Linked DNA regions of Oryctolagus cuniculus. The protein of the gene in region 1 interacts with the protein of each later gene in a pairwise test. Links are inferred from orthologs where the notes say so. Each region holds a gene or a part of one and is shown on either strand. Other genes may lie near its edges.

What was found.
Region 2: the proteins of GRAMD1C (region 1) and CD151 interact in binary tests that used the Homo sapiens proteins (3 or more experiments, as listed by UniProt). The link is inferred for Oryctolagus cuniculus from reciprocal best matches to the Homo sapiens genes GRAMD1C and CD151.

The regions. Positions count from the first base shown.
Region 1 is NC_091435.1:69,831,169-69,835,562, reverse strand, and holds the start of GRAMD1C (protein Aster-C), read right to left. Parts: upstream 2,950-4,394; 5' UTR 2,878-2,949; coding exon 2,815-2,877; intron 1-2,814. UniProt on the Homo sapiens protein: Cholesterol transporter that mediates non-vesicular transport of cholesterol from the plasma membrane (PM) to the endoplasmic reticulum (ER).
Region 2 is NC_091432.1:348,090-352,627, reverse strand, and holds the start of CD151 (CD151 antigen), read right to left. Parts: upstream 2,915-4,538; 5' UTR 2,761-2,914; intron 1,860-2,760; 5' UTR 1,804-1,859; intron 1,051-1,803; exon of another isoform or gene 1,018-1,050; 5' UTR 1,011-1,017; coding exon 927-1,010; intron 848-926; coding exon 656-847; intron 576-655; coding exon 501-575; intron 382-500; coding exon 277-381; intron 201-276; coding exon 42-200; intron 1-41. Other genes in the region: CRACR2B (EF-hand calcium-binding domain-containing protein 4A), read right to left, coding at 3,538-3,703, 3,782-3,853, 3,976-4,142, 4,274-4,366, 4,499-4,538. UniProt on the Homo sapiens protein: Structural component of specialized membrane microdomains known as tetraspanin-enriched microdomains (TERMs), which act as platforms for receptor clustering and signaling.

The DNA.
Region 1 (4,394 bases):
CCTTGCGCCGCGTCCGCCAGCCCTCCGAGTACACCTAGGGTCGCGCCGGCGGCGTCTTGCGCCCTCTGGTGGCAACTGAGGACCCCTGCCTGAGGATGGCTATTAACTTTGCTAGCCTCAACACCAATCTTTACTAGAGGTCAGATTGAATTTAATCTCGCAACCTCAAACTTCTGAGCTGCTATGAAATGTGTTTTGCTTCAATGTGCGAAAAAGTGACTTGCGAGGGAAGTCATGTCCTTTTGTATAAAGGATTGAAATTAATGATAAAAGGTTATTCCCTTCACTCCCCGCCCGCCAAATAAACGGCTATGAAAGATATTGTGGATGAATCTTGATGTGAATGGAAGGGGAGAGGGAGTGGGAAAGGGGAGGGTTGTGGGTGGGAGGGACGGTATGGGGGGGAAGCCATAGTAATCCACTATTCGTACTTTGGAAACGTATATTCATTAAATAAAAGTTAAAAAAAAAAAAAGAAAGATATTGTGGAACAATTGAGAAACATTGAACTGTATATTAAAGCGGATGCTGTGGAATAACTAATGAACCGTCGATAAGTTTGTTGATATTCACTTATGTATAATTAATAATTTGTAGTTATGTTGGAGAGTGGCTATTAGAAAATTGTTGTTGAAGTGTTGTAGAAGTGTCATAATATCTGCAGCTTCCTTTCAGATGCTTTAAGAAAGACAAATACTGGGGCTGGCATTGTGGTGTATCTGTTAAAGCAGCCGGCGGCGGTGCCAGTATCCCATATAGGCGTTGGTTGGAGTCCTGGCTGCCCCACTTCCAACCCAGCTCTCTGCTATGACCTGGGAAAGCAGTAGAAGATGGCCCAAGTGCTTGGGCCCCTACAGGCAACAGAAAAGCAAAATATCAACAATTAATGTATTTAAAAGAGAGTATACTGCTATTTGGTAATTTTTTTTAAAGATGCATTTATTCAGGGTCGGTGCTGTGGCATAGTGGATAAGGCCGCCACCTGCAGTGCTGGCATCACATATGGGTGCCGGTTCAAGTCCTAGCTGCTCCACTTCCGATACAGCTCTCTGCCATGGCCTGGGAAAGCAGTGGAAGATGGCCTATGTCCTTGGGACTTTGCACCCACTTGGGAGACCTGGAAGAAACTCCTGGCTCCTGGCTTCAGATCAGCAGACCTCCAGCCATTGTGCCTGTTTAGGGAGTGAATCAGCAATGGAAAACTTCTCTCTCTGTAACTCTGCCTCTCAAGTAAATAAATGAATCTTTTAAAATTACTATAACTGGTCAAAAGAATAAAGTGAAACTGGCCTGCACAGCTGTGTGTGGTGTTTTTTGGTTTGTTGTCTTTTGCAGTTGCATAAGTGCAAATACAGAATCAACAAAGTTGGATTTAATTAGGATTGGTTTTTACCAGGTGAATATGGTAAATCACAGAAGGAGGAAGAGTGATGAGTATGCATGCAAGTGTGTGCAATAATGATTGTCCCTGTAATATAGGCAAAGTAAGGTTTTAAGAGTGTGAAGGGGGACCAGCACTGTGGCTTAGCGGGTAAAGCCACCGCCTGCAGTGCCAGCATCCCAAATGGGTGCCGGTTCGAGTCCCAGCTGCTCCACTTCTGATCCAGCTCTCTGTTATGGACTGGGAAAGCAGTGGAAGATGGCCCAAGTCCTTGGGCCCCTGCACCTGTGTGGGAGACCTGGAAGAAGTTCCTGGCTCCTGGCTTCGGATCTGCCCAGCTCTGGCAGTTGTGGCCATTTGGGGAGTGAACCATCGGATGCAAGTCCTCTCTCTCTCTCTCTCTCTCTCTCTCTCTATCTTCTGCCTCAGCCTCTCTGAAACTCTGCCTTTCAAATAAAACAAATCTTTAAAAAAAAAAAAAAAGAGTGTGAAGGACAATGAAAAGTATTAGGATTAAGGGTGTGTAAATCTAATCAGTTCTCTAGTTACTGGAGCTTCGTGCAAACCACCCAAAACCAGAGTAACTGGAAGGAAGAACCATCATGAGTTTTCTCTCATAGTTTCTGTGGTTGGAGCAGTTTGAGTCAGGAGTTCTGTCTCCCATGAAGTTGCCCTGAGTAGTAGTGTGCTGCTCCAGTCATCAGGCCTGACTGAGGCTGGAGGACCCTCTTCCAAAGTGTCTCATGGGGCTGGCTCTGTGGCGAAGTAGGTTAATGCTCCACTTACGATGCCGGCATTCCATATAGGCACCAGTTCAAGTCCTGGCTGCTCCTCTTTCGATCCAGCTCAAGATGGCCCAAGTCCTTGGGCCCCTGTTCCAATGCAAGAGACCCAGAAGAATCTCCTGGCTCCTGCCTTTGGATTAGCACAACTCCGGCCATTGCAGCCATCTGGGGAGTGAACCAGCGGATGGAAGACCTCTCTCTCTGTCTCTCCTTCTCAATGTCTGTAACTCTACCTCTCAAATAAATAAATGAAAATAAAAATCTTAAAAAAGAAAAAAGTGGGGCCGGCACCGTGGCGCACTGGGTTAGTCCTCTGCCTGTGGCGCTGGCATCCCATGTGTGCACCAGGTTCTAGTCCCAGTTGCTCCTCTTCCAGTCCAGCTGCTCTCTGCTGTGGCCTGGGAAGGCAGTGGAGGATGGCCCAAGTCCTTGGGCCCCTGCACCCGCATGGGGAGACCTGGAAGAAGCACCTGGCTCCTGGCTTCGGATCAGCGCAGCGCCAGCTGTTGCAGCCGTTTGGGGGGTGAACCAGCGGAAGGAAGACCTTTCCCTCTGTCTCTCTATGTCACTGTCTGTAACTCTACCTGTCAAATAAATTTTTAAAAAATCTTAAATAAAAAGGAAAAAAGAAAAAAGTGTCTCACTTACTTGGCCAGTAAGCTGGCACTGGCTGTTGGTTTGGGGGCTCAGCACACACATGGGTTTCTGCATGGGGCTGCTCAAGTCTTCATGGCCAAGCAGTGGCTTCCCTCAGAACGTGTGAGCCTGCCTTTTATGACCTAACCTCGGAAGTTCCACGCTGTCACTTACACCGCATTCTCTTGGAGTCCAGCGGTCGGCTCCGCTTCGCTGAGGGATTCAACTACTCAGGGTGTGGACACCAGTAGGTCAGGATCACTGAGAACCCTGGTGAGGACAGCTATCCTATGAGGAATGACAAGGTGGGAGAGAAAGTAGTCACCATTTTCATTGGGAAAGCAAGGTTTCAGTTAGATCTTGGTGAGGAGAGACCGTAGAGAAATTTCAGAGAACGTAGGAGACAGGAGCTATTGTTAGTGTCTGGTCTTGAATCCACAGCACATCAAGGAAGGAGGTTGGTGCTGGGAGACAGAGGCGGTGGTGAAGGAAACGTGTGTGTTACTGAGAGCGCATGCTGTCCTGGGGCCACCATTTAGTTCTGTCCCAAGATGCCCAGTGGTCAGGTTAGGGAGGGTGCGTACTTTTTGCATCTTCACTAAGTAGAATGTCCCCGAATATGGCTCTCTAATATATTTCATGATTGGAAAAAGTTTTAGAGGCTGGCTATGTGGCACAGTGGGTAAAGCTGCTGCCTGTGACGCCAGTATCCCATATGAGCACCAGTTTATGTTCCAGGTGTTCCACTTCTGACCCAGTTCCCTGCTAAAAGCAGTGGAAGATGGTTTAAGTTTGCATACACATGGGAGACTCAGATGGAGATCCTGATTCTGGTTTCTGCCTGGCCTAGTCCCAACCATTGCAGCCATTCGGGGAGTGAACCAATGGATGAGTTCTTTCACTCTCTCTCTCACTCGCTCTCGCTCTTTCTTTTTCTCTCTCTCTGTCTTCTCTCTCTCTCTCTCGTGCACTCTCTCTCTCTCTCTCCCTCCCTCTCTCCTTCTCTCTAACTCTGCCTTTCAAATAATAAATAAATCTTTTTTTAAAAAGTTTTAGGGAGTATACAAATATGACAGTTTCAAAATTGTTTTCTGCTCAGCATGATTAATTTTAATTCAGATCCTTAGAAAATGCCACTACTGGGGCCGGTGCTCTGGTGTAGTGGGTAAAGCCACCACTTGTAGTGCTTATGTCCCATATGGGCCCCAGTTCGAGTCCCGGCTGCTTCTCTTCCAATCCAGCTCTCTGCTATGGCCTGGGAAAGCAGTAGAAGATGGCCCAAGTCCTTGGGCCCCTGCACTCATGTGGAAGACCTGGAAGAAGCTTCCAGCTCCTGGCTTCAGATCAGCTCAGCTCTGGCCATTGCGGGCATTTGGGGAGTGAAACAGCAGATGGAGGACAGCTCTTGCTCTCTCTCTCTCTCTCTGGCTCTACTTCTCTCTGTAACTTTTTCAAATAAATAAAATATTTTTTAAAAAAAGAAAATGCCACTATTAGTTTTCATCACGTTTTTCTAGTCCTGCTAACCCATAAGTAGTGAGTTAATGTAACCTATCTGCATTTATGTATCACATTTTGCTCCTTCCTGAAAT
Region 2 (4,538 bases), on another chromosome or scaffold:
AGACGGGGCGTGGTCCCGCTCGGCAATCCGGGCCCGCCTACCTCCACCTTGTAGATGTTGGAGGCGTGGTCCCGCTGCCCGCAGTTGGGCACCACGGTCTTGCAGCAGCTGTCAGGGACCACGCGGTCCCCGGCCTCGCTCGAGCGGATCCACTCGCTCTCCCGCCAGTCCCGCGAGCTGTTGCTGCCGCAGCAGTGGAACTGCAGGGCCGAGAGCAGGGTCGGCTGAGCCGCCACGCCCGCCCCGGCCACCAGGCCCCCCCTGGGCCCCACCCACCTCCTGCTGCAGCTTGTCCACCGCGCTGGTCACTCCCTCGTGGCCTGGCTGCCGGTACTGCCTGGTCATGGTGCCCTTGAGGTTCTCCTTCAGCTCTGCGTTCAGCTGGGGGGGGCAGCTCTTCCAGGTCAGGCGGGGGGGCGGGGGCGGGGCCGGACGCCTGCCCCCCGCCCCCCCAGGCCCGCTGTGAGCCGCGGCGCTGCCTTGCCCCCCCCAGCCCTCACCTGCTGGTAGTAGACGTAGGCCAGGATGCCCGCGATGATCTCCAGCAGGAAGATGAGCAGCAGCAAGAGGAAGTACTAGGGGACAGACACCCCCGTTCTGGGCGGACCCCACGGGCGCAGCCCCCCACCCCACCCCCAGGGGCCCCACCGCTGACCAGGCGCAGCAGGTTCCTCCGCTCCTTGAAGGTGGCGCAGCAGCCAAGCACGCCAGTAACCATGACCACGACGCCGGCCACCACCAGGATGTAGGCTGTGGCCAGGTACGTGCTGGAGGCCAGCAGGCTGATGTAGTCACTCTTGAGGGCCAGCGTCCAGACCCCCACGGCCATGACGGCCAGGCCGGCCAGCTGCGGACAGCGTGCCGGGTCAGGCCGGGCCGGGGCCGGGCGCGGGGGGCGGGTGGCGCGGGCAGCCCCCCCTGCTCACCCAGAAGCAGCAGTTGTAGGTGAAGAGCAGGTACTTGAGGCAGACGGTGCCACACGTGGCCTTCTTCTCGCTGAACTCGCCCATCCTGGGGCTGGCGGGGGAGGTCGGAGGCCCGGGCACACGCCTGGCCGGGGGACCCGGAGATGCCCGGGCGCAGGGGGCAGACAGGACATGAGTCACTTCCCAGGGAGAAGGGCTCAGGAGCCCAGGACCCGGCAAGGGCTCCTGCTGACTCACTCCTGCCCGCGGCCCCACCGCGGGCTGCAGGCCCAGGACAGGGGCCCGCAGAGGCACCCCAGGGGCGGGGGACAGGGCTCTGCCCACCCTCACCGAGGCGCAGGAGCTGGAGGGTCAGCAGAAGGGCAGGTGTTCCCCCCCCGTGGGGGGGCACTGGGAGAGGCCTGCGGGCGCAGACTGGGGCTGGGGGGCACTGGGAGAGGCCTGCGGGTGCAGACTGGGGCTGGGGGGCACTGGGAGAGGCCTGCGGGCGCAGACTGGGGCTGGGGGGCACTGGGAGAGGCCTGCGGGTGCAGACTGGGGCTGGGGGGCACTGGGAGAGGCCTGCGGGCGCAGACTGGGGCTGGGGGGGCACTGGGAGAGGCCTGCGGGCGCAGACTGGGGCTGGGGGGGCACCGGGAGAGGCCTGCGGGCGCAGACTGGGGCTTGGGGGGCGCAGACTGGGGCTGGGGGGCACTGGGAGAGGCCTGCGGGCGCAGACTGGGGCTGGGGGGCACTGGGAGAGGCCTGCGGGCGCAGACTGGGGCTGGGGGGGCACCGGGAGAGGCCTGCGGGCGCAGACTGGGGCTGGCGCCCGGGGCCAGGTTTGCAGACGGGCAGCCCAGCTGCACTTTCACCTCCTGCCCCGCCCAGCACTCACCTGCGGCGGGAACAACGTCTCTGGGACAGGTGGGCGGAAGTTCCCAAGAAGCTGGGCTGCAGGGCAGGTAACAGGTTACTGGCCTGGCTCCTGCGGACAGGCAGAACCCTGCCCCAGCCTCCTAGCCACCAAGGCCGTGGCCAGGGCCCCCGGGAAAACTGGCCAGCAGTGGCCAGGCCCGGTATTTTTGTCTGGACAAGGGTGGGGCAGAAAAGGCATTCGGACAGTCCGATCCTGGGAGGGGCTTCGCCCCACCCATGCCCTCCGCCCACGAAAGAGCAGCTAGCGGGGCACAACCCCCCAAGTTCCACCCACGCCGCTGGGGAACTCAGACTCCCCGCATCAACTCCCGGGGCCACGCACAGCTGTGCCCCTGGGGCTGACTCAGAGGCCCCAGGCTTTGTGAGGCTACTGGGGTTGGACCGGATCCCCGCCACCCGGCCAGGCAGGGCGGCCCCTCCAGGGACGGCTGGTGGCCGTGAGCCCCCGGGGACAGGAGCGTGGGAGCCTGGGTGGCCAGAAATAGATACAGCGGCCGCGCGCAGAGCCGTCCCGGGCCTCTCCCGCGCCCCAGTGCGGGGGCTCCGGGGCTCCGCAGCTGGCGGGTTCGGGCGCAGTCTGCGGTGAGGTCACCGCTGGGGCCGGGGCCCGCCCATATGCACAGGGCAGGGGTGGGCCTGCGGGCGGAGGGAAGGGGCCGGGGTCGGAGACACTGCGTGGGGCGCTCGGGCTGGGAGTTTCAGGGCTCCGCGCACGGCGGGGACGCCCGCCAGTCCCAGGGTTCGGGAGGCGCCTCCCCCACCCCGACCGCCTGGCGCCGGGCTCCCCCGGAAGGGCCTGCGGCCGCGTCCGGCGGGCGTAGCCTCCCGCGCGCAAACGCCGGGCCCCGCGACCAGGCGCGCAGGGGCTGCGGGCCATCGGCTTCGCTCGTTCGGCCCGGCTCGGCCGCGCACTCACCGGCCACGCGTCGGAGTCGGCCCGGGCTGCGGCGCTGCGGGGGCGGCGGTTCCAGCGGAGAATGCGCGGCAGGGGCCGCTGGCGAGACGCCCCGCCCCCGACACGAGCTGCGGCCACGCCCGCGGCGCCGGGCCCCGCCCCCTGGACGGGGCCACGCCCGCGGCCCGCAGACAGCGCCAGGCAGGTCTGAGCCGGCTTCGCGAAGTGCGGGCCTCGGCGGAGGGAAGCGGGGCTGCGGAGGGGCTGGAAAGGAGGCAGAGACCACCGCGCGGAGGTCCCCGACAGCGGCGAGATCCGGCGGCCTCCCCGCGTCGGCAGAACCGAGGCCGGCCCGGGGCGGGGGAGGGTGAGGGGGCTTCGCGCCGGTGCGTCTGGGCCCCCACCCCCGGGGGTCTGTCAGTCTGTCAGTTCGGTTGGCAGGGCTGCGTGCCGGGAAACGCACTCGGGGTTGGCTGGTGAGCGTGGGAACCTCCACTGGCCGCCAGGTCCCACGGAAGGGACGGTGAGGGCTCGGGTGACGACCCACGGCCGGAAGCCCCCCGCCCCGCACCAGGGCCACGTGCCCCGCACAGGTACCGCGCACTTGCACGACGCCGAGGACGAGGCAGTGCAGTCCCTGGACTTTATTTGGCAGTTTTTATGATTTTTCCCCGCTGGACACCGATGCGGACAGGAGGAAGACGCCCCACTGCCCCCCAACCCCTACTCGGCCCCTGCGCCCGCAGGGCTTCAAGGCGCGCCCTGTCCCGCTAACGCCCTGTGCGTGGCTCGGGCCGGTCAGCGTGCACTGGGAAGGTGGCCGGAGCCACGTCTGGGGGGACGAGTCCAGCCGCCCAGCGTGGGCCCGGGCGGGCAGGCGGTGGCCGGGGCCTTCCTGCGGCCGGGGCCCAGCAGCCGGGCCTCACAGGCGTCCCTCGCGTCGCGGAGCCGCGTGTTCAGCTCCCTGGGGAAGGCAGAAGGCGAGGTCGGAGGGGTCCCTGCCCTCCCGGAGGGGCCGGGGCTGCGTGGCGCCCGCCCGCACCTGAGCAGCTCCAGCTGCCGCAGCAGGCTGCGTTTCTCCTTCTGCATGTTCCTGGACACCGCGACCACGTCTCTGCGGGCGGGGAGGGGCGGCCTGGATGCGGCGGACCGCTGGGGAGACCCCTCCCCTGCCCCGCAGGCCCTGGGGGGTGGAAGTGGCCCGGGCCGGGGCCGCGCCTGCCCCGCCCGCCGCACCTCTGCGTTTGCTCCTGGCGACCCCGCGCGTCGCCCTCCAGCCTGCGAAGCTGCTCCTGCGCCCCCTCGAGCTGCGCCCGCAGCGCCTCGTGGGCGCGCCACAGCTGGGCGTTCTGGGCCTGCGCCTCCAGCTGCTCCGCGACGCGGGCCTGCAACTGCTGCTCCAGCTGCGGGTGTCGGGGGCGGAGGCTGGCGAGGAAGGCCCGCCGCTTCCCGGGGAGCCGCGCCCGCCCGTTCCGGGGCCCGGGACCTCGGCAGGGCCAGGAGCGCTGGGGAGGGGCGAGGGCTGCGCGCTCACCTCCCGCTGCCGCAGCCCCGCGCGCTCCAGCTCCTGCTCGCAGCTCTGCAGCTCCACCTCCAGGCGGCCCCTCCACTCCTCCCGCGGCGGGTTCTGGAACGCGCGGGCACCTGAGCCTCCGCTGGCCACGTGGTGCGCGGTGGGCGGGGCGGGGCGGGGCGACGCGGGAAGCCCAGCAGGTGTGTCGGGGACCCGGGGGGGGGGGGGGACGGGGCGCGCGCCCACCTGCGTGCGAAGGCGCTGGCGCTGCTGGCGAAGCTGCTGC